2 linked regions of the Medicago truncatula genome follow. The protein of the gene in region 1 interacts with the protein of each later gene in a pairwise test. Links are inferred from orthologs where the notes say so. Each region holds a gene or a part of one and is shown in the gene's direction. Other genes may lie near its edges. The genes, in order: uric acid degradation bifunctional protein TTL and FHA domain-containing protein DDL.

Region 1 (12,003 bases):
CACTTTAATCCTTGTATAGAGTTGCAGGTTGAAATGAATAAATCTTAATCTTAAGTATATAATAAAACAGTAGACTAGTGTGTTTTCACATTAGTTCTTTAAATCTTTGTCATTAACATAGTTTTTCAAACATTGAAGTGCTCCATGTTAGTGGTGTAGCTTTTGGTCTGCGGTTCCTGCAGTACTGCTGGTTGCTATAGCAGGTGCAGCTGCTGTGCTGCATACCGGCGGCTCATGGTGTTATTTAGGAGTTTTTGGCTGCCTTTTAGTGCTTGTAATTTCTGCTGTGTTTTTGTTTTTGTTTCTTTTTAGACAAAAAAATGTGTTTTTGTCTAGAAGTTTACATCCAATGGGCATAAAAAATCCAGGTGTTTTTAAGGAAGTAAATTTCTGAAATGAATGTGGGTTACAAAAAACAAACCATCAATTTTTTCCTTTTAAATCAATCTCTTGAAGATACACAAACTCTAGTATAGTTCTTTAGATTTGTGAAATGATAATTTAGTCACTTAAATTAACTTATATGATCGAATTTATTCCTTTTCAAATTTAGCATTATAGTATGTTCATTTTGATGTATGAAGAAGGGAGTAAAGACGATACGTGACTTTCATAGGTTTTGATCAATATTTATTTTCCAAGGTTATATTTTTTTTTTACATAATTTTTATTTTTTTTAAAATTAAATTGTCATGTACTTTTAGGTCATTTTATATTTATAACAGCTAGTTTTACCAAACACATTATTTTTAATAAGCGAGCTTTTCAGCTATCAGCTAGCTTATAGCTGCTTTTTACCAAACAGAGCCTTAATGCAAGTGAATGCCAATTTTATATTGAAACTCTATTTAGCAGCATTTTCATGTTGCTATATTGTTTTGTATATAGTAAATGTATGTAGATGTTAACAAATGTAGCTTATATTTCCTTCAAAAAAAAAAAAATGTAGCTTGTATTATGTTAATGTAGAAACAAACATACAGGTGTTTTTAAAATACAATCTGTCCTGAAATATTGAAATCTAGTTAATGCAAGTGAATACCAATTTTATATTCAAACTCTCTATTTAGATTGCTTCATTGTTTTGTATATAGTGAATGTATGTAGATGTTAACAAATGTAGCTTGTATTATGTTAATGTAGAAACAAGCATACAGGTGTTTTGAAAATACAAGATAAATCTTTAGTAGATTTATGAAACTGTGACATATCTTTAGTTGACCCAGATGTTGGAAAATGTGCTTGCAATCCCTAAAAATTAGAAACTGTCTAATTTATATATCCCTAATAAGGTTGTAAAACTCTCAATTTTGGAGGTTGTAATTGGTATACTTTCCTGTACAACTATAATAGCAGTTTGTTTTAATATGAACTTTGATTCTTTATAACTGGAACTGCCGCAGCATTATACCTCTAGTGTAGCCACGTAGGAAAAACAATCGGATCTAGTAAAGAGTAGGGTTAAACAAAGCTATTAGGTATGCGTCTTTGTATAACTATCCAGTCTCAAAATATAGGTTGTGCGCCCAGGTATCTGTCCTGAAATATCGAAATCTAGTTGATACAAGTGATAGCCTATTTATATTCAAACTCACAATATACCAGCATTTTCCTGTTGCTTCAATGTTTTGTATATACTGATTGTATGTAGATGTTAACATATGTAGCTTGTAGTTGATTAATGTAGATTCAAATGTACATGTGTTTTTAAAGTACAAGATATAAAGCTTTGGTAGGTTTATGAATCTGTGACATATCTTTAGTTGAACCAGACGCAGGAAATTGTGCTTGCAATCCTTAAGAATTAAAAACTTGTCTAATTTAGATATCCCAAATAAGGTTGTCAAACTCTCTCATCTTTGAAGGTTGTAATTGGTGTATTTGTATACAACTATAATGAGTTGGTTTTGATATGGACTTTGAAATCTTTTCTTTATAACTGGTACTACTGATCTTTTCTTTAAAATTATAACTGGTACTACTGCAACACTATCCATTTGGTGTAGCCACATAGGACAAACAAGCAGATAGTAAAGAGTAGTGATAAACAAAGGTATTAGGTGTGTGTCTCTAGATAACAATTCAGTCTCAAAACATAGGCTGTGGTGTAGCCGCACAGGACAAACAAGCTGAACTTGTAAAGAAGAGTAAGGATGAACATAGATATTAGGCATGTGTCACTGGATAACAATTCTGTCTCAAAATATAGGCTGTGAGCTCATGTATCTTTCCTGAAATATTGAAATGTAGTTGCTGTGAGCTCATGTATCTTTCCTGAAATATTGAAATGTAGTTAATACAGGTGATGCCAATTTTATATCCGAACTCTCAATTTACCAGAAATTAAACCATTAATAAATACCCTTACCAATAACTATGACAAATGACCAAATATATTATACATATCCATTATTCCAATATTTCCTTTCCATGTTTTATTTTCACTTCTCCATAATTGTGTTATTTCTCACCCTCCTTGCAGTAGAACCACCTGCGGTATCATTATTGATTAGTCCAAATAATTTTTTCGTGTTCAGATATGTCCTGCTCAAGCAATAACAATCGAGGCTGAGGAGCGTGAAGATGGCAGCCGTAGGACAACTCGGTCAGTTACCTACCTTTTGTGTCTTCCCTTCTTCCCTGCATTACTCAATTCTGCTCTAATTTGTCAAATCTTGCAGGTATGATATTGACATGACCAAGTGCATCTATTGTGGATTTTGTCAAGAGGCATGCCCAGTTGATGCCATTGTTGAAGGGCCAAACTTTGAATTTTCTACAGAGACTCATGAGGTTCCTTTTCATTTCCATTATATTGAACTCTATTAGTGTCTTTAATGCTATAGCCATAATTGTTTATATCTTTTTTTGGTAATTGATTTTAAGTAACTAGGACTTTCTACCCGCGCTATCGCGCGGGTCTATTGTAAATCATTGATCAATGTGCAATTATTCTAATCAACTCAATCAATTTGAGAAATATATCATTATAGATCTATAATGTACCATTAAAATGTTGGTATGAATATTTATATAAGAAGGTTAGAAAGTTTATAAATAAACTAAAGTGCATTATGAAAAATCTCTTTATAAAAGGGGAGAAGGAAGGAGAGGTGGTGGCGGCGCTACCGCTGTTAACAGGGACAGTGGTGGTAGGGGTAGAACAGGGGTTATGAGAAAAGAAAGAAATAAAAAGTTATGTTTTGAGAGATATGATCATGTGGAGCAAGATATCTTATTGGTTTATTTTGCTGATGTTGCTTGCAAACCCTCTAAACCTGATTGGCTACTTGTATGGAGTATCACATGGCCTTGCATTTTGGCTCCAAAGAAGGGGCAATTTCAGTAAATAAACCAAAGTAGTTCTAGGGTTTTGCTAGGGTTTGCTGGCAAAATTTCCTTACATTTGTATATAAGATTGTTTCTTTGATTCTTTGTTTATTACTGATTATATGTTTTAAACGTTATAGGAGCTTTTATACGACAAAGAGAAGCTGCTTGAAAATGGTGATAGATGGGAAACTGAAATTGCAGAGAACCTGAGATCTGAAAGCCTTTATCGCTGATAATCTCGTTGGAACCCTGCTTATTCTGTCTTATTATGCACTGATAAATAAAATGATCAGTGAATGATCTTGAAAATTTGTATGGATTGTTCCTCACTTTTTATTTTTTGGTGGGCCATTGTTGTAATTCTCGCATGTATGCAATTGTGATTTCTTTTTTGCTCTTGAAATCTTTGAACAAATGAGTAAATAATTGTAAGAATTCAACAAATAAATGTCGTTACCTTGTAGCAAACTTGTGGCCTTGAACTATATAGCTTGTATAATGGAAATACACTCGCTTTGATGGTGACCCTGATACATGCCTTTATAATTTCTAGTAATCTTGTATGATATCAGAAAGCTTTTTAATTTATGTCGTGTCAAAGCCTTTCAATTTATTTGCCACACATTTGCTTGTATATAAAACACTTGAGGGTGTTATGAATTATTATCATTACTTAATGAAAAATAACGGCAAAGGTGAAATCCTAGGAAAGGTATCATGTTCATGAACACCGAAAAGAAAAGCAAAGGAACGGTTGGTGGTGCTTGAATTTGGTTAAGATTATGTGGGTGGTTGTTACGGTGGATGGGAATGAAAATGGTTCCGTATAATGGCAGGAAATATTTTTATGGATGATGAACATGCCTTCTAAGATTCATGAGAAGTTTGAAAATTCCTATGGAATTATAGCAGTAGCAACGAAGTTGTGGAACACAAGGATGATGGTGGTTTTCATTTTTTATTTATTTATTAAAAATGCTTTTAAAATAAGTAGAATGTTAACGAGTGCCCAAAGGTATTGGTTAAGTATCTAAAACAAGCAAGTTTTCATGGAAAAAAAAATTGTGCAATCATTATTTAATTAAAACTAACATTTTATATTTCCAAGACAAAATTTTTATTTGTAGAATCCTTAACCAATATCCTGAGAATACTGATTAGCAAGACCCTTAAAATAATAATAAAGTTAATGACCTATATCAAATTTATTGGTTATTTTTAAAGAGGATGTGATATGCATGACCCTATGCAAGAATTTCTCCGCGTAGACAAGCAAACAACTCACACCGACGACTTCAGGTCTTTCAAGTTTCAAGTCCTAATTGAGGTTAAAACGTCATTATTATTTTTAGAGTAGTGATATTTGTAGAACCATTTGCGACAACTATTGTGACAACTTTCTCTTTGTTTCTTCTTATTGGTCAAAAACAATAGAGAGAGAGAGAGAGAGAGAGAGAGAGAAAAGGAAGAGATGATAAAAACATAATGTGAGTATGAGAGAGAATTGTCAAAAAGTTATCATAAAACGGTTGTACAAATATCATTTCTCTTATTTTTATGACTTTTTTACTATTGGTCGAGGATAATAGTCTATGCGTCCTATTTTAATCGACCTACTTCGAAAATGTGCACTATTTACATAACATGTTTTGACCATATTTTTCTATTAACATACAAAGACAAATGGTTTTCATAAAAAAAACAAGTATTTATTGCGAAAAATTAAATTTCAATCTTTTGTAAATTAAATTGAAACAATTTTTAATATATACTACCTGTCCCAAAATATAAGAACATTTTGACAAAATTCCGGGAGTAAAGAAAATTGATATTTGTATTAAAGATCTTTGTAATCACTATTGTTTTTACAATATTATTATTTAAGAGATAATTATTTTATGTTTTCAACATGTTATTTATTTTTGATTGAAGAAAAAAACATAATAAATATGGGTATGTAGCTCAAGAAATGATTAATTTAGTTGAAAATAACAATAAGGTCTTATTAGGAAAAGAAGGATCGTGGAAATAAATTGACGCCTCTACTTTTCTAAAGTTATAAAGAAAGGTCACCGAAAGGTCACCCAATTAGGGTTTTTTCCAACTTGTGCAAGATTCCACAGCTTAAGCTCCAATAAATGCACTATTTGTTTTGTTTTTCTAAATCCTACTCCATCTGTCTCACAATAATTGTCTTTTTACCCATATTTCTTTTTCTCGAAATAATTGTCACTTTAGAATACTAATACAACATTTATTACTTTTTTCCAATATAATACCCTTATTTATTGAACTTAATCCAACTTAACTACTCATCCTCCACTAACTACAAATAATAAGGATGTTTTAATAAATGATACTAATTTTACCATCAAAATCAACACAATTAATTATTTCCTTAATAACCGTGCATCAACCTCAAACAACTACTATTTAGAGACGGGGGGAGTATTAATTAGCCTTTTTCTTGAAAATTGGTTTTTTTTCATCTCTCTTCTATTAACTGCTATAATTTCGGTGCACTAAGAAATACAGAGAAAGTCAACATTCAAATTCCACAGACACACTAAACTGAACATTTTATTCTTCTGTCACGCCACTTTCTTCTTCAACTTTGAAAAAGTCTGATAAGATATGGCAAAACGAAAGGAACCAAACCATTTGAAATCGTATGATTGTATATGAATTCTGCTCTTCCCCCCAGCACAAAACACTCGCGCCCAACATGATTTCCAAATATACCCATGCGTGAGTTTAGTCACAAACCACTGAACCTCTGCACGAGTTAACGCACGCAAGTTGGCCAGTGGTCAAAACTGAAGAACAAACGTTTTTTGGACGGTGGTCAATGCTTTTTATTGGTTTTTACACTTTTTTTTTTTTTTTTTTTTTTAAGTTTTTCTCACGTTTTTGCATCCCATTAAGTGCTATGCTACCTTAAACCACCTATAAATACCCTCACAAACTTCCTCTTTCCTCATATTATCTCCTCCCACTCGCTCCCCCTCTTTCTCTTCTTCGTTTTTGCTTCTATAGTCTCTAGGCTCTTTACACCCCTTTAGGTAAATAGCAGTAGTTTTTGGGGGAAGTAGTGGTCCGTCGGGTTGGGAAAAGGGCATCATTCCTTGAGGGAAAATTAGGTTTGCTTCCTTTTACTTCCAAAATATTTTTACCGTGGGTAAATAGAATCATCATGGGGGTATAAAAAGGAACCAAACTTAAATTTACCTCAAGGGATCTTGATGTCTTTTTCTCCAACAGGACATATCACAAGTTAGAAAAATCCTTAATAATTAAAAAGTAGCGCATTTATTGGATCACAAGTTTAAAAAACCCAATTATTAAAATAACTACTTTTATGACATTTGGTTTTTTGTGTGTTTATTAATCGCTCCGTTTCAAAATACATATCCAATTTTTGCAATGTGCACTATTTACTTGACTTACTTTGACCATACTTTTTAACTAATGTATAAATATAAATATTAGCATGTAAGATGTTGTTTGATTTGTCTCGAAAAATATTTTCAAAATATTAAATTTTTATAATTTTTTACTTTAGATAATTAAATATATTAACGGTTAAAATTGTGCATTGACATGTGTGAAATGGCTGATTTGGACATGTATTTTGAAACGGAGGAAGTATTAAATGAAGGAAATCTTAATAATTTAAAGTTTTGGTTAGAAAGTAAAAAAAATCAACAAAAAATTATTTTAACAATGAAGGTCACTTGAACAATTTTTTTTTTTTTAAACAAATGTCATTTTATTTTTAAATATATATTTTCTCAATTAAGATTTTTTTTACAAACTCAAACAAGATCTATAAATAATTTTAATTTTTTTTTTTTTTTTAGAGAAAACTAATAAGTGCCCCTATATTAGTTAATGGCGCTCGAACCACTATATAAAAAAAAACACATTTTGAAAGACATTGGATAAAATATTATTTAAAGAATTTTCTTAGGAAAATTTTAAAAAAAATATAGGAAAAAAAAATGATCCAACCCTTTATTCATTTGTCTCAACTATATAGTAAGTAGTGGTGGTGAATGGTGAAAGCTGACGCAAACATATCGACGAAAACATACATAGATAGATCCTCATCCAAATTCCAAAACCCCAATTTTGCAATTGAAGAGAATCGATTATTAGTGTGTGTGAAGAAAATGGAAGTGGGTGTAGGTTTTGATGAGAACGATTACTTGTCATGTTGTGGAAGCACCAAATTCGCCAAGGAAATGGCTGCTGCCTCTCCTTTCCCTTCCTACCACCGTGCTCTCACCGTTGCTAAACACATTTGGTTCAACATAGTTGATGTCAATGGTTGGCTTCAAGCTTTCTCTGCCCATCCTTCCATTGGTCAACCTCGTCCTCCTTCTCATGCTTCTGCAACAAGTGCTGAGTTCAGTTTTCATTCTCTAACTCAAACTCTCCTTTTTCATCTGGGTCTCTTTCTTTTTTGCTTATTAATGTGAAAAATTGTTACTTTAGTGTGAAGGTCGTGTTTTTCTTATGTGGGTCTCTCTCATTTATGTTTATTGATGTGAAAAATTGTGACTTTAATGCTAAGGTTGTGTTTTTCTTATCTGGGTCTCTTTCCTTTTTGTATATTGATATGAAAAATTGTGTCTTTCGTGTAAAGGTTGTGTTTTTCTCATGTTGGTGTTTGTCATTTTGGATATTCGTTTGGGATTGTATGACAAATTATGACTTTAGTGTAAATGTTGTGTTTTTCGCATGTGGGTATTTGTTAATTTGTGTCTTCTTTTGGAATTTTAGGGTAGTGATAGTAATTGAAGTGAAAATTTTGAATGTGGATTATTGTTGTTTGTGGCTTCTTCACTTTTGTGGTGTTTGATAGTGTCTCATTTGGAATTTCTTTTATAGTGTTGCTAATGGAATTTGTATGTTTAGTCATTCTTCTAAGTGTATGTTTGATATCAAAAATGATTCTAGAGACATAATTGATTTTGACATGTTTGATTCAATTGGAATTGGTTTTGCATCTAGAGTTGAGTGTATGTTAGCTTGGGCGTACCCAACTAATTAAACGTACATTTACTTTGAAGCTCTTGTTAGTAGCTTTGTTACATTCCTGCGATTAGAGCATCCTATATGCGGTTCAAGACATACAACGGTTTTAATTTGAAGTTAAGATTTGTAGCTTTTGGCTCCAAATGTGATTTTTACTTTCGAATTTATGGTTCAACTCACTTTTACGTGAATGTATCCAAATATAAATCACTTTATATTCAACTTACTTTTAACTAATATCAAGTTTAGGAAATCAACTTTTGTCACTGCAGAACCAAACATGCACGGACTCTATTATTGTTTTTAGCCATATGGGTTACTTTCTTCTCTTTGCATTAATAGAAAAACTTGGCATCATTAACATGTAGAAGAAACTCATTTTGGCAGGTGGAGTATAGGAGAACAATCAACTGCTTTAGCAACTTCTACTGCTTCTAGTTTACAGGTTTGCTTGCTTTCAGCTGCTATTGAAAATGCTACCAATAATCTAGTGCTGTTTCGTGTACTAAAGAACGTATGAAAACTGATTGTTCTCTTGCTCTGCTATCAGCATACTTAAGACTATTTGTGTATGAGTACTGATTTTAAAAAAACACCTTCTTTCAGAGAGTTATAGTTTCTTACAAAGTATCTTATGGTTTCAACTTTTGCATCCTTTATTGGCTTGACCTGCATCATGGTTCGTTATTGATTTTATTATTACGGTGGAAAAGTCATTTGTTCATCAGCAAAATTGGATTTGGGACCGGGAAACAAACATTCAGTTTTTGTAGGTTTAATATAACCGGTATGTTAATAGTTCATATATTATGATGATAATTAGTATTCTAATTGTGGTCTGTTTGACTTTTGTAGGAACTAGCTGAATGGAATGCTCGGTATATGCAAAAGTTTGGGTTTGTATTTCTTGTATGTGCATCTGGGAGAAGTACTGAATCGCTACTTGCTGAACTAAAGGTAAAATATGAATTTAAGGTCTAGTGTTGAGTGTTATATTAAATTTAAATTCATTTGTTCACTGTGCAGAGACGCTATGCAAACAAACCGATTGTTGAATTTGAGATTGCAGCTCAGGAGCAAATGAAAATTACAGAACTTCGCCTTGGAAAGCTCTTTACAAGTAAAAAAAACATATCTTCTACAACTGATACTAATTCCATTGCTGTTGCTCAAAGTCAAAGGGCAGAAGGTACTTCCATATACTTTATTGTGTTTTATGTTTGGTTATTTTATAAGCATATTTCCAAATTTGGATTTGATTCCAATTGATAGCTTCATGTTCTAATTGTTTCAATGACTGCGACAACCCGTGCACTATTGAATTCGGTTAAGGAAATGATTCCATCCACTCATAATATACCATGATGACTTTATATATTAATTATTAAACCTATGATATATCATTTTCCGTTTATAATCAACCATCACTGAGTCACAACTTTTTGTCTAGAAGTAGCAGGATCATAGTTTGGAGTTTTATGTCCATTTATTCTGTATATTAAAAGTTGTGAGTTCTAAGATAGTCAAGTCTAAGATTCAAGTAATTTAATGTTAACAAACACGTCAGAAAGAATTGTATGATCTTCACATGCCACTATCTGTATAAATAAAATAGATTATAGAAAAGGCAAACTGAGTAAATCCAATTGCATGATGTTTAATTAAATCAACTAGAACATGAGAATATCCATTTGTAAATGTATCAACTAATGATGTTGTAAATTTAGCATTTCTATTTCTTACATAATATTTATCTTGAAAAAGCATAAGGTGTTTGGTTTGGTTGATATAGTTAAAGTTACTGGCATCATTTTGAGATTTTACCATTTTGAGTAGTCAGGCTTTTTCTTTTTTCTTTGGTTACATTTACTTTTATTTGATATTCTATTATTTGGAACTACTTTTCCTTGTGATCGTGTCTTTTTTCCCCATAACTTGCTAATTGTGCATATATGAGAAAACATAACTATGGTATATGAAATTTTCTGTCTGATGATAACATTTGTATGTAAAACAATTCATGAATCTTCACCAAATAACTTAAGCATTTGGATTCCTTATTTAAAATTGTATTAGAGCCTCTGCATGTTGTCATGTCTTGGATCTTGCTTGAGTAGTCATGTTGGATAAAAATCCATTCCGAAGGCTTTACCGAAGAACTTATCTTCTGACAAAACTGGTAACTGACGAGAATAAAGACGCACGTTAACTTGTGGGATAACAGATAGTACTTTTGATAAACTTAATTAAAGTTGCCACAATGTTATTTCTGAAATTCAGGTTTCTAGAAACTCTGAAGTGAGCATTGTGTTCTTCTCAGGGAGAGGTTCAAACGAACTTCTAAACACATGCTAAACTTGTTAAAGGAAGGTAGAATAGAAACCAAAGTAAATAGATCTTTTAAGTTTTAAGAAAACATTTTGATCTCTTAAATTTGGATCATTTGGACCTCCATAAAATGTAAGCATTGGTTTATGTTATTCCAATGCAGCACTTCTGATTTCTGAAGCCTTCCGTGGATCTGCATTCTGCAATGGTGGCATTGTATATACTTATTGCTTACTATCCCAAGATTGTGATATTTGTCCTATTTCTGACTGATTATAGAAGTACATATTATTGAAAACCCTTCAACTTTTTGGCTGGACACAAATGCTAGGTCTAGGATGATCAACGAAGTAACTTAGAATGATTTCGTACTTTTCATTTTATCATCTACCTCTTTTCTTAAGAAAATCTCTTTCATGTATGTCCCAGGACTCAAATATAAGCAAAAATAATTAAATGCACATTGATTAACGATAGTAGTTAACTCCAATTAATTTTCTTGATTCAAAGGGTATTTCAGGAATTAGAATAATTAAGATGTTAAGATTGGTTAGAATTTGCTTATATTTTGTACCATTCGACATGTCTATCTTTTGTTTGTATTTAAGTTTGAATGTGCAGCTCATGAACTCCTACTTTTGCATCATTATTGTTTTTGGTGATATCATGATAATTTCTTAATACTTGTTTTATTAATTTTTCGAATGCTAGAAGTTCGTGTAAGCATTATTGGTGGTCATGTGACTGCTGCTGCTTCAAACACTTTAACAGGAAAATCAATCCAAAATACATCTAGAACCCGCCCAGCTATTACCACTCACGTGTTGGATGTTTCGCGGGGATATCCAGCTCCTGGAATTGAGGTACTTTTGGAGGTGTGGAGGGGAAGTCAAGCTGGACCGACATTTGGGATTACAGATGGTGGCGGTTGGGTGGTTCTAGGGTCTTCGACAACTGACTCCGACGGTCGTAGCGGTCAACTGATGGACATAGTTGATGATGTGGATCCAGGGATATACAGGTTAACCTTCAACACTGGGAAGTACAATCCAACTGGTTTCTTTCCATATGCAACTATTGTGTTTGAAATCCTAGAGTCGCAGAAAAGGGAACATTTTCATGTTCCTCTGTTGCTTTCACCATTTTCATTCAGCACTTACCGTGGAAGCTAGAAGAAATATGGGAATTGTTGCCCTATCAATGCATTCATTACATGCATTGAATATCTAGAAGTTTTCATGAAAGTGGATTAGTATTTGTGGTGTTTTGCTTAATGTAATGCCCATACTGTATAGGATAATA
Region 2 (12,174 bases), on another chromosome or scaffold:
AACAAATATATATATGCCTTTTCATTATACTGAGTTGACATTGAGAAATAATTCAATTATTGGAAACCTAATTGGTTATCCCTTTTTCATCTTTTACTTATTCTCATATGGTATCATAGAGCCGTAAGATCCATGGCACCTCGCAACAATGCTTCAACATCTAATGAGCAGGGTGCTCCAGCAATTGATCCATCAAGTCCTTATTATGTCCATCCAAGCGATGGTCCTACCTCGGTTTCAATTACTCCTCTACTTACTGGTTCCAATTACCATAGTTGGGCTCGGTCTATGCGTAGGGCTTTGGGTGGAAAAATGAAATATGATTTCGTTGATGGTTCTATTCCGGTTCCTACAGATCCATTCGATCCAACATTTCGTGCTTGGACGCGTTGCAATATGCTCGTTCACTCATGGATCATGAATTCTGTCGCTGAATCAATTGGCCAATCCATTGTATTTATGGAAAATGCGGTCGATGTTTGGAATGATTTGAAAGAACGCTTCTCTCAAGGTGATTTAGTCCGCGTATCAGAACTGCAACAAGAAATTTATGCTCTCAAGCAGGAGCATCGAACGGTAACTAAATTTTTCTCTGATCTTAAGATTTTGTGGGAAGAACTAGAAATGTATATGCCAATACCTACATGTACCTGTCGTGTCCGTTGCTCTTGTGAAGCTATGCATACTGCTAGATATAATCATAATTTACTCTATGTGATTCGTTTTTTGACTGGTCTTAATGAAGAATTCAGCGTTGTTAAGTCACAAATTCTGCTATTAGATCCTTTACCTAGCTTGAATAAAATTTTCTCAATGGTTATTCAGCATGAACGTCAAATTGTTCCACATGTTTCAGTTAATGATGACTCTAAAGTCCTTGTTAATGCTGCTGAAAATAGGAGATCAAATTTTAGAAATAATAAGACTGGTTCAAAACCTGGAGAGAGAGTTTGTACTTTTTGTAACAAATCAAATCATACTATTGATACTTGTTATCGCAAGCATGGAGTACCACCTCATTTACAGAAGAAAGGTTCAAACTATGCAGCTCATAATGTTAATGCAGAAAGTTCTGCACCTCCAGCTCTTACACATGAGCAGTATAATACTCTTGTGTCTCTACTTCAGGCTTCTAGCATTAGTAAACAATCTACTGCACATGCTTCTAATCAGGTGAACTCTTTCCAATCAACTGATCATCCATCAGTCGATGACAAAGGTAATATTTCTGTTATTTCTATTTTTTCTTCTTGTGTTAATAACACAACTCTTGGTTCTTGGATCATTGATTCAGGAGCTAGTGATCATATTTGTGGTTCATCCCATTGGTTTCATTCTTTTCATGATATTAGTCCTATTTTTATTAGATTACCTAATGGTAATTTTGCTGTAGCAAAACAAATTGGCACAATTTATTTTTCTCAAAGTTTTTTCTTAACAAATGTTCTTTATGTTCCTAATTTTTCTTTGAATCTAGTTTCAGTTGCCAAACTCTGTTCTGATTTACCTTGTCTTGTTAGTTTCACTAATTCACAATGTCTTGTTCAGGATCCTCAGTCATTGAAGACGATTGGTTCTGCTGAACTCATTGAAGGATTGTATCACGTGGTTCTACCAGATAAGATTCGGAATGTATCTGCTGCCCCTTGCAACTCTGCTGTCATCATACCAGAAAATGCATTATGGCATTTTAGACTAGGCCACCTCTCTAGTTCTAGAATGACTTTGCTACATTCTGATTTTCCTTTTATTGTTATAGATCAAAAAGGAGTTTGTGATGTATGCCATTTGGCAAAACATAAAAAATTACCATATCAAAGGAGTTTTAATAAAGCCATGAAACCTTTTGATCTAATTCACTTTGATATATGGGGTCCTCTTGCTATTAAATCTGTTCATGGTTTTTCTTATTTTCTTACTGCTGTTGATAACTTCAGTAGATATACTTGGGTTACTCTTATGAGATCTAAGGCTGAAGTTAGTCAACATGTCATGAATTTTGTCCAGCTAATTGAAACACAACATAACACCCTTGTTAAAACCATAAGAACTGATAATGGCCCAGAATTTTTGATTTCTTCTTTCTATTCTTCCAAAGGAATTATTCATCAAAAGAGTTGTGTAGAATCTCCACAACAAAATGGAAGAGTAGAAAGAAAACATCAACATATACTAAATGTAGCCAGGGATTTGTTGTTTCATTCAAATTTACCAAAACAATTTTGGTGTTATGCTGTGTCACATGCTGTTTTTATCATAAACCGTGTCTCTAGTCCTCTTCTTGATAATAAATCACCATATTTTTTGATGCATGATAAGCTACCTGATTTGAAAATTTTAAAAGTGTTTGGCTCTTTAGCTTATGCATCTACTTTACATTCACATAGAACTAAATTGGATCCCAGAGGTAGAAAATGTGTGTTCCTAGGTTTTAAAAGTGGCATGAAAGGATCTATACTTTTTGATCTAAACAATAAGGAAATATTTGTTTCTAGAAATACCACACACCTTGAACATATTTTGCCATATAATCCAATTTCAAAACCTTCCAATTGGAAATATCATTCTCATGGTAGAACACTCGGTGATGATATTCCAATTATTCATCCCCCTAATGACACTATATCACATAACACAAAACCACCGGATTCTGTTCCATTATCATCTACACTAGAACATAACCTTACAAATTCAACCATACCGGAACCTGAATCTTTCACCCCTGTCCCAAGAATACCAAATCAAAATCCACAACCATCACCTCATCAACCTATTAGGCAAAGGCATCCACCATCTTATCTTGCAGATTATGTGTGCAATGCTTCAGATGGTTCAACAAAATCAAAGTCTTCAGGTACTCCTTACCCTATCACCTCTTATCATTCTTTTTCACAATTATCACCTTCACGTCAAGTTTTTTCTTCTTCTATCACACACTGCACAGAGCCAAAATCCTTTAAAGAAGCAAGTCAGTATGATTGTTGGCAAATAGCTATGAAATCTGAATTAGATGCATTGGATAAAAATGGCACTTGGATTCTAGTAGATTTGCCACCTCATGTGAAGCCTATTGGTAGTAAGTGGGTATACAAAGTTAAACATAGGGCAGATGGCTCTATTGAAAGGTATAAAGCACGATTGGTTGCGAAAGGGTATAATCAGATTGAAGGTCTTGATTTTTTTGATACCTTTTCACCTGTTGCAAAACTCACTACAGTTAGAACATTACTTGCTCTTGCTTCAATTCATTCTTGGCATTTACATCAATTAGATGTAAATAATGCGTTTTTGCATGGAGAATTACAAGAAGAAGTTTACATGACTATTCCAGAAGGTGTTTCATGTACCAAACCTAATCAAGTTTGTAAACTTCTTAAAAGTCTCTACGGTCTTAAACAAGCAAGCAGGAAATGGTATGAAAAATTGACATCTTTGTTAGTGAAGGAAGGATATCAACAATCTACATCTGATTACTCACTTTTCACATTGAAAAATGGTCATGAATTTACTGCCTTGTTGATTTATGTTGATGATGTGATCTTAGCAGGAACTTCTCTCGATGAATTTAAAAGGATCAAACATATTCTTGATTGTAATTTCAAGATAAAGGATCTAGGAATTCTTAAATATTTCCTAGGCCTCGAAGTGGCTCATTCCAAAATTGGGATCACTATTTCACAAAGGAAATATTGTTTGGATTTATTGAATGATTCAGGTTTATTGGGATCCAAACCAGCCGGTAGTCCTCTTGATCCTTCCATTAAATTACATCAAGATGATGGTAAGCCTTATGATGATATTGCCGCATATAGGAGATTAATTGGTAGGTTGTTATATTTGAATACTACTCGACCAGATATCACATTTGCAACTCAACAACTAAGTCAATTTCTTCATGCTCCAACCATGACACATTATAATGCTGCTTGTAGAGTTGTGAGATATTTGAAGCATAATCCTGGAAAAGGCCTTTTATTTCCTAGAAATTCTGAGGTACAAATTTTGGGGTATTCAGATTCTGACTGGGCTGGTTGTATTGATTCCAGAAAATCAATTTCAGGATATTGTTTTTTTATTGGTTCTTCCTTGATATCTTGGCGTGCTAAGAAACAACAAACTGTATCGAGGTCTTCTTCTGAAGCTGAGTACAGAGCTCTTTCTACAGCAACATGTGAATTACAATGGTTGCTTCACTTGTTCAAAGATTTGCATGTTATCTCCACACGACAGCCTGTGCTATATTGTGATAGCCAAAGCGCTCTTCATATTGCTTCCAATCCTGTGTTTCATGAGAGAACAAAGCACCTTGAAATAGATTGTCATCTAGTAAGGGAAAAGGTTCAAGATGGTACTCTTAGACTTTTACCAATTTCATCACAAGAGCAGTTAGCAGATTTTCTCACAAAGGCTTTGGCCCCTCCAAAATTCAACTCATTTATATCCAAGCTTGGCATGATAGACATCTATAATGCTTCAGCTTGAGGGAGGATATTGAGCTAGTAAATAAATGCACATATTATGCCTAAAATTATGCATACGTTTGCTGTTATTTTGCTTTTTACGTTACTACTAATTAATGGCAATTGTTACATTGTAACAAATATATATATGCCTTTTCATTATACTGAGTTGACATTGAGAAATAATTCAATTATTGGAAACCTAATTGGTTATCCCTTTTTCATCTTTTACTTATTCTCATACATGTAAATAAAGGCTTCCCGTGCATGACATACTTCATTTCCATTAAAATGCACTAATTCATATCTTGAAACACCTCTATTTAGTGTTTGTTGCATACAAATTAATGAAAATGAATACAACAAACAGGAAAATCTCAAGTAAGACCTTTTAAGAAGGCAAACCCAAACTAGTGCTCTACTAAAGAATAAAGAATAAAAATAAAAAAGATTTTATTAAAATGTGCAGTTCACAACTTACATTTAGGAAGATTGAGGAAGATGAGATGAATGATATTGTTGGAAGAGATGAAGAATGTTATTTCATTTCGGCCTCTACTTCCACCTCATAGCTTGCATGTCTCTTAAATAATGTCAATTTAACTTCTTTGTGGAATTAACAACCAAATTTAATGTCAGAGACAAAAGTGACTAACAAATTTTGGAGTGAGATTTTTTTGTTTTCTCTATAGTCAAAGACCATCATGACAACGGTGTGCATATCCAAAGACAAAAAAAAATGAATGTTTACCCAAAGATAAATCCTTATTTTGACCATTTAATCCCAACCATTTGATTTGTTTCGCATTGAAAAAGAGTAAGGTATGTTTGTTATAGTTTTTTTAAAAATAGATTTTTGTATTGTAATATGTTTTTGTTATAATTTTTCTAACAAATAAATTTTTAAGGAAAGCTTCAAAAGAAAAATTTGTTTGAAAAACTTATCTTAAAATGTTATTCTAAGTATTTCATCATTTGTTTTATAATTATTTTTTGATACTAAAATTTTGAAAAAATCTCTTAAGAAAAAACTATCTCAAATAGTTTTTCATAAAGATCATTTTTGAAAGATTTCATTTAAAAAAATGTGATTTTTGCTATATAAAATCTCAAACAATGACTCACGTGAATATAATTCAATTGATAGGGGTAAGGTGTTATTCTATCGAGGTTCGAACCTTAAACATCCACTTATCATCTTAAAAAATGAATTCTAATCACTAAACTACTTAGAAAAAAATTCAAACAATAAATATTTAAGTTAACGAAAGTCAATTTTTTTTTTTTTTTAAATTTATATCAAATGAGTTTAACTATATTTGAGTAAATTTAAAAAAAAAAACTTTTTTTTTTAAAAACAAACTGGCCAAAATGGAGGAAAGCCGTAAAACAAACTATCCAAAAGCTTCATTACAGTTCTACCATTTCCGTCTCCTTCTCACCTCTCTCTAATCTTGCTCTTCTAACCTTTCTCCTTTCCCATCTCACTATTTTTCTTCCATTCTATTTCTCCATCACATGCAACATGGGTAATTATGTAAATTTACATGTCATAAAAAAACAAATTATTTGATTCGATTTTGGAGTGAACCATCAAATTCGTCCTTGAATTTTAACGGGTCAGCCAAATTCATCCCTCAATTATGCGAAATATCAACTTAGTCCCTGAATATGTCAGACGTCCAATAAAAAGGTCCCTCCGTCCAAGTGCTCCGTTAGCCATGGTGACATGTCGCCCTGCATGCCGTGTTGTCTTGTACACGTGGCAAGAAGGAAACCACGTGTTCAAGGACTAATTTGATTGAATTGGAAAAAGTCCAATTTTCACTTTATTTTTTTTCCTGCTTTTCCCATTTTGCCCCTGCATTACCCATACCTCATTCTTCACATTTCAGTCAGAAGCATCAAAAACATCCTTGACCTTTCACATTTCCGCTAAAACTTTCTCCATTCTCACCCCTCCAAAATCATCATCATCACCGGCGATTTTGACGTTTTTGAAGTTTCTGTGTTCGGCTGTGATTAAAGGTAACACCTTTCAAATTGTTTATCAAGATTCTATGTTCGTATTCACCCTGGAGATGCAGAAATTGCAGGAAATGTTGTTGCAAATGTTGGACATGTATGACTCTTAATTTTTAAGGATCGTTTTGGCAATTAGTATATTAATTGAAGGACTGATATGATTGATTATCTAAATTCATGGAGTTTATACCAACTCCCGAATTTTCAAAGAAGTGATGCTTCCTGAAGTTTAATAGATGTTTTGGATTTGTAATATTTAGGCTTATTTGAATTATGCCTCGTAGTTGGGTTTCTTTTTGCTTAACTTGTCGTTTAAGACTTATGACTTGTTAATGCCTCATAGTTAGGTTGCTTTTGCCTATGTAATTTCTCAAACTTATGACTTATGACCTATGACTTTTGCCTATGTAATATTTCAGTTTGAATTTGTGTGTTCTGGCTTTTTTACTTAATTTTGTACCCATATGCTTCAAGGATCAATTTGATATATGATTAAACAATTCAGGAACTTATTTGATGGGTTTTAATATAACGTAAGGATCTATTTGATAGATAGTGAAATAATTCAAGGACTAATATGATGGAAATATTATTACAGAAATGAAATGTTACATTTTTGAATTATCTTCAACCTCTTTTCATCACCGTTAAACTTGGAGCTTGAAGATGAAGCTCGACTTTCATAACAATTTTTTCCCTTATTCTCACCCCGTTCATTTCAAATTCAATTTCAATAGTTTTGCTTCAAGAAATTTTGTAGATTTTGACTTTCAGATTCAATACAAAAAAATTCGGGTTTCAAGTTTTTTGAATTGGGGAAGAACTGGACCACTTATTATTAGAGGAAATTTAGGTGATTTTAGAATATAGATTGCAGATTGTGTAATTAGGGTTTCAATTTTATACAATTGGGGAAGACAGAGCCATTGGGAAGAAAAGAGCCGTTTTAGAAGAAACTAAAATTATTTCTGCAAATCAATCAATTTAGTCATTCGAAATGTTTTTTTAGCTAAATTAGTCCTGCCTACGTGGCGCCTGACATGTGAGAGGTTAACGGTCACGTCAGCCCCGTTAACGCTCCGTTTTGAACAATGACTAACTTGATTGACATTTAACAAATTCGAGATTAAATTGATATTTCGCATAATTGAGGGACGAAGTTGACCGACCCGTAAAAATTCAGGGACGAAGTTGATGATTCCCTCTTCCATTTTGCTCCCAATTTGTTGTAGTTTTGAGAAAACTCACTTGATTCTCAAACCCATCCAAACGGACAGTTAGCTCGATTGCAGACCACTTTAACAACCATGGGCCGTCATTCTCCATCCACTCGCCGTCACCGGAGCCACCGCAGCATCTCACCTCCGCCGCGAGACAAGCAAAAACCTTCAACTCGTTCACCTGATTCTCCTCCTCCTTCTTCTCATCGCTCTCGTTCTCCTTCTCCACGAACCAAACGGTTGAAGAAAATTCAATCCGAACGAGAACCCAAACGCGAGCATGAGAGGAACCGTGACAGTAACAGCAGAGGGAGGGATTCGGAGAGGGAAGAATTTGACCGGAAGGAGAGGAGGAGAGTGGATAATGATGATGATAGTGGAAGGAACGGCAGATCATCTAGGTCGAAGCATGATAGGTCGCCGGAGCACCGTCACAACGGAAGGGGCAGACATAGGTCTCAGTCGCCGCAGCGTCACTCAATGCCTCGTGATGAGGTGTCTGGTGATATCCAACCCTATTTCAAATTATTGTTTCATTCTTTCTGTATTGTTACGCTGTTTTTTTTTTTTTTTTTGGTTAAAAATGGAGAATTTCATGCATTTGTTTTTATGCTGTTGATGGAATTGAAGGTTGAATTTTTGGTGTTATTAGAGGTTGATTGAATAGAGTTTTGGAAAGAATTAAAGAAATTTAAAGCTTAGAGGTTGATTGATACCAATATTATTTGACATACAAATAGTTTGTGATTGGTAGACTTTTAGGATGTTGTTAATTCAACAGCATTCTGAAAGTGTTAATATTTTACTCAAATGCGAGGGATATAAGGAGATGACATGATTGTCATACTTCATCTGAGAATAGGACGTGTTTAGTGTTTGTGATGAAATGCTTGCCATTCTTCATTGTAGAAGGAAATAGTTTGATTTTGGGCTAGGCTAATTAATGCATACAATTATGGATTATCAGATTTCTAGTAGTAGTCTTGTTTAATCGTTGCAGCTGGACTTTGCACTTAAGTTAGTAGTGTAGATTATGGTGGATTATCAGATTTATATATGCATTATTTATGTTTTGAGCTGGCTCCATGAGTGTGTGATTTATAGTATATCTCAACTCTGAATGGGTATTGAATGTTGGTTTCATGTACACAAAAGTTTATTATATACATGAATGTTAGTTGACATGTGATTTGTTTTTTTTTTTGGTTCACAAAAGTTAATTTTGTGAAGAAAAAAAAAAAAGAAACTATTGTTGATGAAGCATTCGTTATGGCCTTATGGGTGATCCCTTGATTATAGAAATTTATCAGTCCTTGTATTTGTTACTGTTGTATTGCAAATAATTTGTGATTGGTAGACTTTAGGAGGCTGTTGATGCAATTAAATATCTGATGGTGGCTATAAATGTTTTAGAGGAATGCTAGCAACACTCATTTTTCAACACTCACTCATTTATTGGATGAAATCAATGTATGTCCCACCATTTTGTGTGGGTTCTATTTTCAAAGTGTAGACCCACAATGATTTAAACCAATAAGAGAGTGAGTATTAGAGAGGGTGTTCAAGAGAGTGTTGCTAGCACTCCTCAATGTTTTATGTTTCTACAGAAGTGGAGTAAACAATAGCTGATTGTTGGCTATTTCAATGATAGTTTTTACCCTAGTTCTATGAAACACGGACACTCCTCAGATTAGGTGTGTCCCGGTGCCGGACACGTGTCGTATCCGACACCGACATATATAATTACACCGAATTATGTGATTTTTTGAAATTATTAGTGGTGTCGGCGTGTCCGTGTCCGTATCTGTGCTTCATAGCCCTAGTTTCACGATTAATTGATTGAGGTAGTGGTCAAATCTATGTTAACACACACGCGACGTTGCGCTGCAAAAGCGAGTAGTGATCGTCGCGATAGCTTTTGAGCTGGTATATCGCGGACCAGTTTGAGGAAAACGTGGCACTATGCATCCGCGTAAGGAGACAAACTAAACATTTAACTATGTAAACTGTGAGAGATTTGATCTTGTTATCTTGTGCATGGACAACCTATTAGAAGTCACTTTGCTTTTGAAGAGTGACATTTACATGTGGTGAGGTCACGTTAGTTGCAGACACGCCTGAACAAGGCAGTTGACTGAGATTTAGAGAAGCCCTAAATTTGCGCATGTGTAAAGAACATAGAGTCTTTCCTTTAGGTGGTTTGCACATCGTCAAACAGTTTGTCCTTAGACATGTGGTTCTTAAAAATTTGTTACTTTATTCTTAATTCTTTTTGCAGTTAATATCCATTTCCCCTTATTTTCTCCATATCTTGGTCTCTTTCCTTCTGCTTTTTGCTTCTGTGCATGTTAAGCTTTCATATTCTCTGGATTGATGCTTATCTAGGTTGCTTTTAATTTTTGCAGGGGAAAAACTCAAGAGAAGCTGAAATGATGTAAGCCTGTATTTCTACTTTGAATTGCATATTCATGTTTTGCTCCTGTTTGACGTTGTCCATACTGTTTAATTGTCAGTTTTGGTTTTAGTTCTTTAATAAGAATAAGAGTGCTATATTTTGTAGTAACGTTTGTCTCTCAGCGTTTTTGTGTCGGCAATTGCATATGAGAAAACAGTAGAATTGGTAGCTAATTTATGGCCTAATGAAATCATTGAAGATGAATCTAAATTTAAAACAATGTGCGTACTTTTTAAGATGGTTCACTAAACCCAATTGCAGTGACAGTTGGATTAAATTAACAGGAGCTATATTTCACTGACATGTATGCAATGATTAGACTTAAGATGTGTTGACATGTGTAGAAGTACAGTTGAAGACTTAAGAGCCTGACTTGGATTCATTGCTCTGGTGATTTGAATGGAATAAATTTACTAATATTATGTGTCGCATATGATTTTAACTAGTTGAATTATGGATTAAGAAAATGCATTTTTATCGTAAACTTGTTTTTGCAATGGAGCCTAGTCACATTAATCAATCCGTGTAGATGACTCTACCTAGTAGGACAGGACTTAATTTTGTTGGCTGTTGGTAGCATTTGGCTTAAGAGAAGAAAATCTATAGGTAAATGCTTAAATTTACAACAAGAAAGTCTGGTGTGCATCGAAGAAAATGTTTGAAGAAAGTTTGATGAATTTTGGCTGGGTATAGGGTATATAACATGAGATGATAGCATTTACGTTGTATAATTTGCTTAATAAATTTTTATCAGTATCTCTTAATATGGTTTTCTATGAAACAAATATAATAGGATGAAACCGTGCATCCTGAATGCTAAATGGTTAGGGTGGAAATGAAGGGTGTGTGGTGAGTGTCAATGAATGTGGTGATCATCCAATTATGGTGCATGGATCAGAATGCTGGGATGCTGAGAGACACCGCGCCTAGAAAGAACATCCTACTAAAATGTTTAAGTTTATTTAATAATGACATATGCCTGAAGAATTGGGTAGCATCAATTGAAGACCATATGCTACTCGACCATAGGTTGTAATTTGTAGACGTGTAATATGGAGATAGAAATGAAATCTTACTATTATAAAGAGTGAGTTAAACTAATCAAAGAGAATAGAATTAGTAGTTGAGCAAGTTGTGTCACGAATTGAAATAATATCAGAGATATGATTTTGAAATGATTGATTGGAATATGCTATACATGAATGTGACTAAAAGAGCTAGAAAATGCAGAAGTTTGTGATTAAGGTGGTTCTTATGTACAATTCATACTATTATTAATGTTTGATAGAATATTTATCTTTGAGCTTCTTTTCCTGTACCTGGTCATTTGTTGGACATCCTTTGAGTCTTTTCATTCTTCATGTTTAGTTGATCAGTAGTATGTAAATAGTGCTACCTCATGTATTTTATGTAACTTGGCCTTGGTGTGATCATATCAGTTGAGCTTTTGTATGAAAACATCAGAAATAATTGTGATAGTAAGATCATAGTTCGCCTTGAGCTTGAACATGCTACACAGCTCCTTTATTTGGTGCATATCTCCCAACGAATATGTGTACTTGGAATAACATGCAAAGCTAAATATTAAATTATTAATTTCTATTGAAACTGAATATAGAGGGTTACCTACAGTTTCTGTTTGCAAATGAAAAGAGATGAAGTCTCATTTGTTTAAGAGAAATTTTATGATCAGACCTTTGTTGTGGAATCTTAAGAGATCAAGCACTTACTTGAATAAAGTTGAAATTGTTAAAGAAATGGTAATAAAACTGAAAAGACATTAACTTGCCACTTTGATCCAGATCATTTCTTATATCCCCTGCTATTTTCTCTAAATTTTCTTAAAATTTAAAACTCTGTTGTAGTTCTCATATAGATTATACTTAGCCGATATAGTTTCTGATGACAATTTGGTCGCTGCTTTGGCAGGAATGAAGAAGATGATTCCTTAATGAAGATGAAGGCTGCTGAAGAGGCTCTGCAAGAAAAACAAAAGGTAATGATGTTCCTTTTT

What was found.
Region 2: the proteins of uric acid degradation bifunctional protein TTL (region 1) and FHA domain-containing protein DDL interact in binary tests that used the Arabidopsis thaliana proteins (3 or more experiments, as listed by UniProt). The link is inferred for Medicago truncatula from reciprocal best matches to the Arabidopsis thaliana genes TTL and DDL.

What each region holds. Positions count from the first base shown.
Region 1 is NC_053049.1:2,636,527-2,648,529, reverse strand, and holds the start of uric acid degradation bifunctional protein TTL, read left to right. Parts: upstream 1-7,349; 5' UTR 7,350-7,388; coding exon 7,389-7,741; intron 7,742-8,760; coding exon 8,761-8,818; intron 8,819-9,228; coding exon 9,229-9,330; intron 9,331-9,399; coding exon 9,400-9,562; intron 9,563-11,412; coding exon 11,413-11,873; 3' UTR 11,874-12,003. Other genes in the region: NADH dehydrogenase [ubiquinone] iron-sulfur protein 8, mitochondrial, read left to right, coding at 2,538-2,605, 2,682-2,793, 3,471-3,566. UniProt on the Arabidopsis thaliana protein: Involved in the last two steps of the degradation of uric acid, i.e. the hydrolysis of 5-hydroxyisourate (HIU) to 2-oxo-4-hydroxy-4-carboxy-5-ureidoimidazoline (OHCU) and its stereoselective decarboxylation to (S)-allantoin, a major ureide compound.
Region 2 is NC_053044.1:22,669,740-22,681,913, reverse strand, and holds the start of FHA domain-containing protein DDL, read left to right. Parts: upstream 1-7,709; 5' UTR 7,710-7,792; coding exon 7,793-8,200; coding exon of another isoform or gene 8,201-8,207; intron 8,208-10,110; coding exon 10,111-10,139; intron 10,140-12,089; coding exon 12,090-12,156; intron 12,157-12,174. UniProt on the Arabidopsis thaliana protein: Involved in the microRNA (miRNA) and short interfering RNA (siRNA) biogenesis. May facilitate DCL1 to access or recognize primary miRNAs. Binds RNA non-specifically.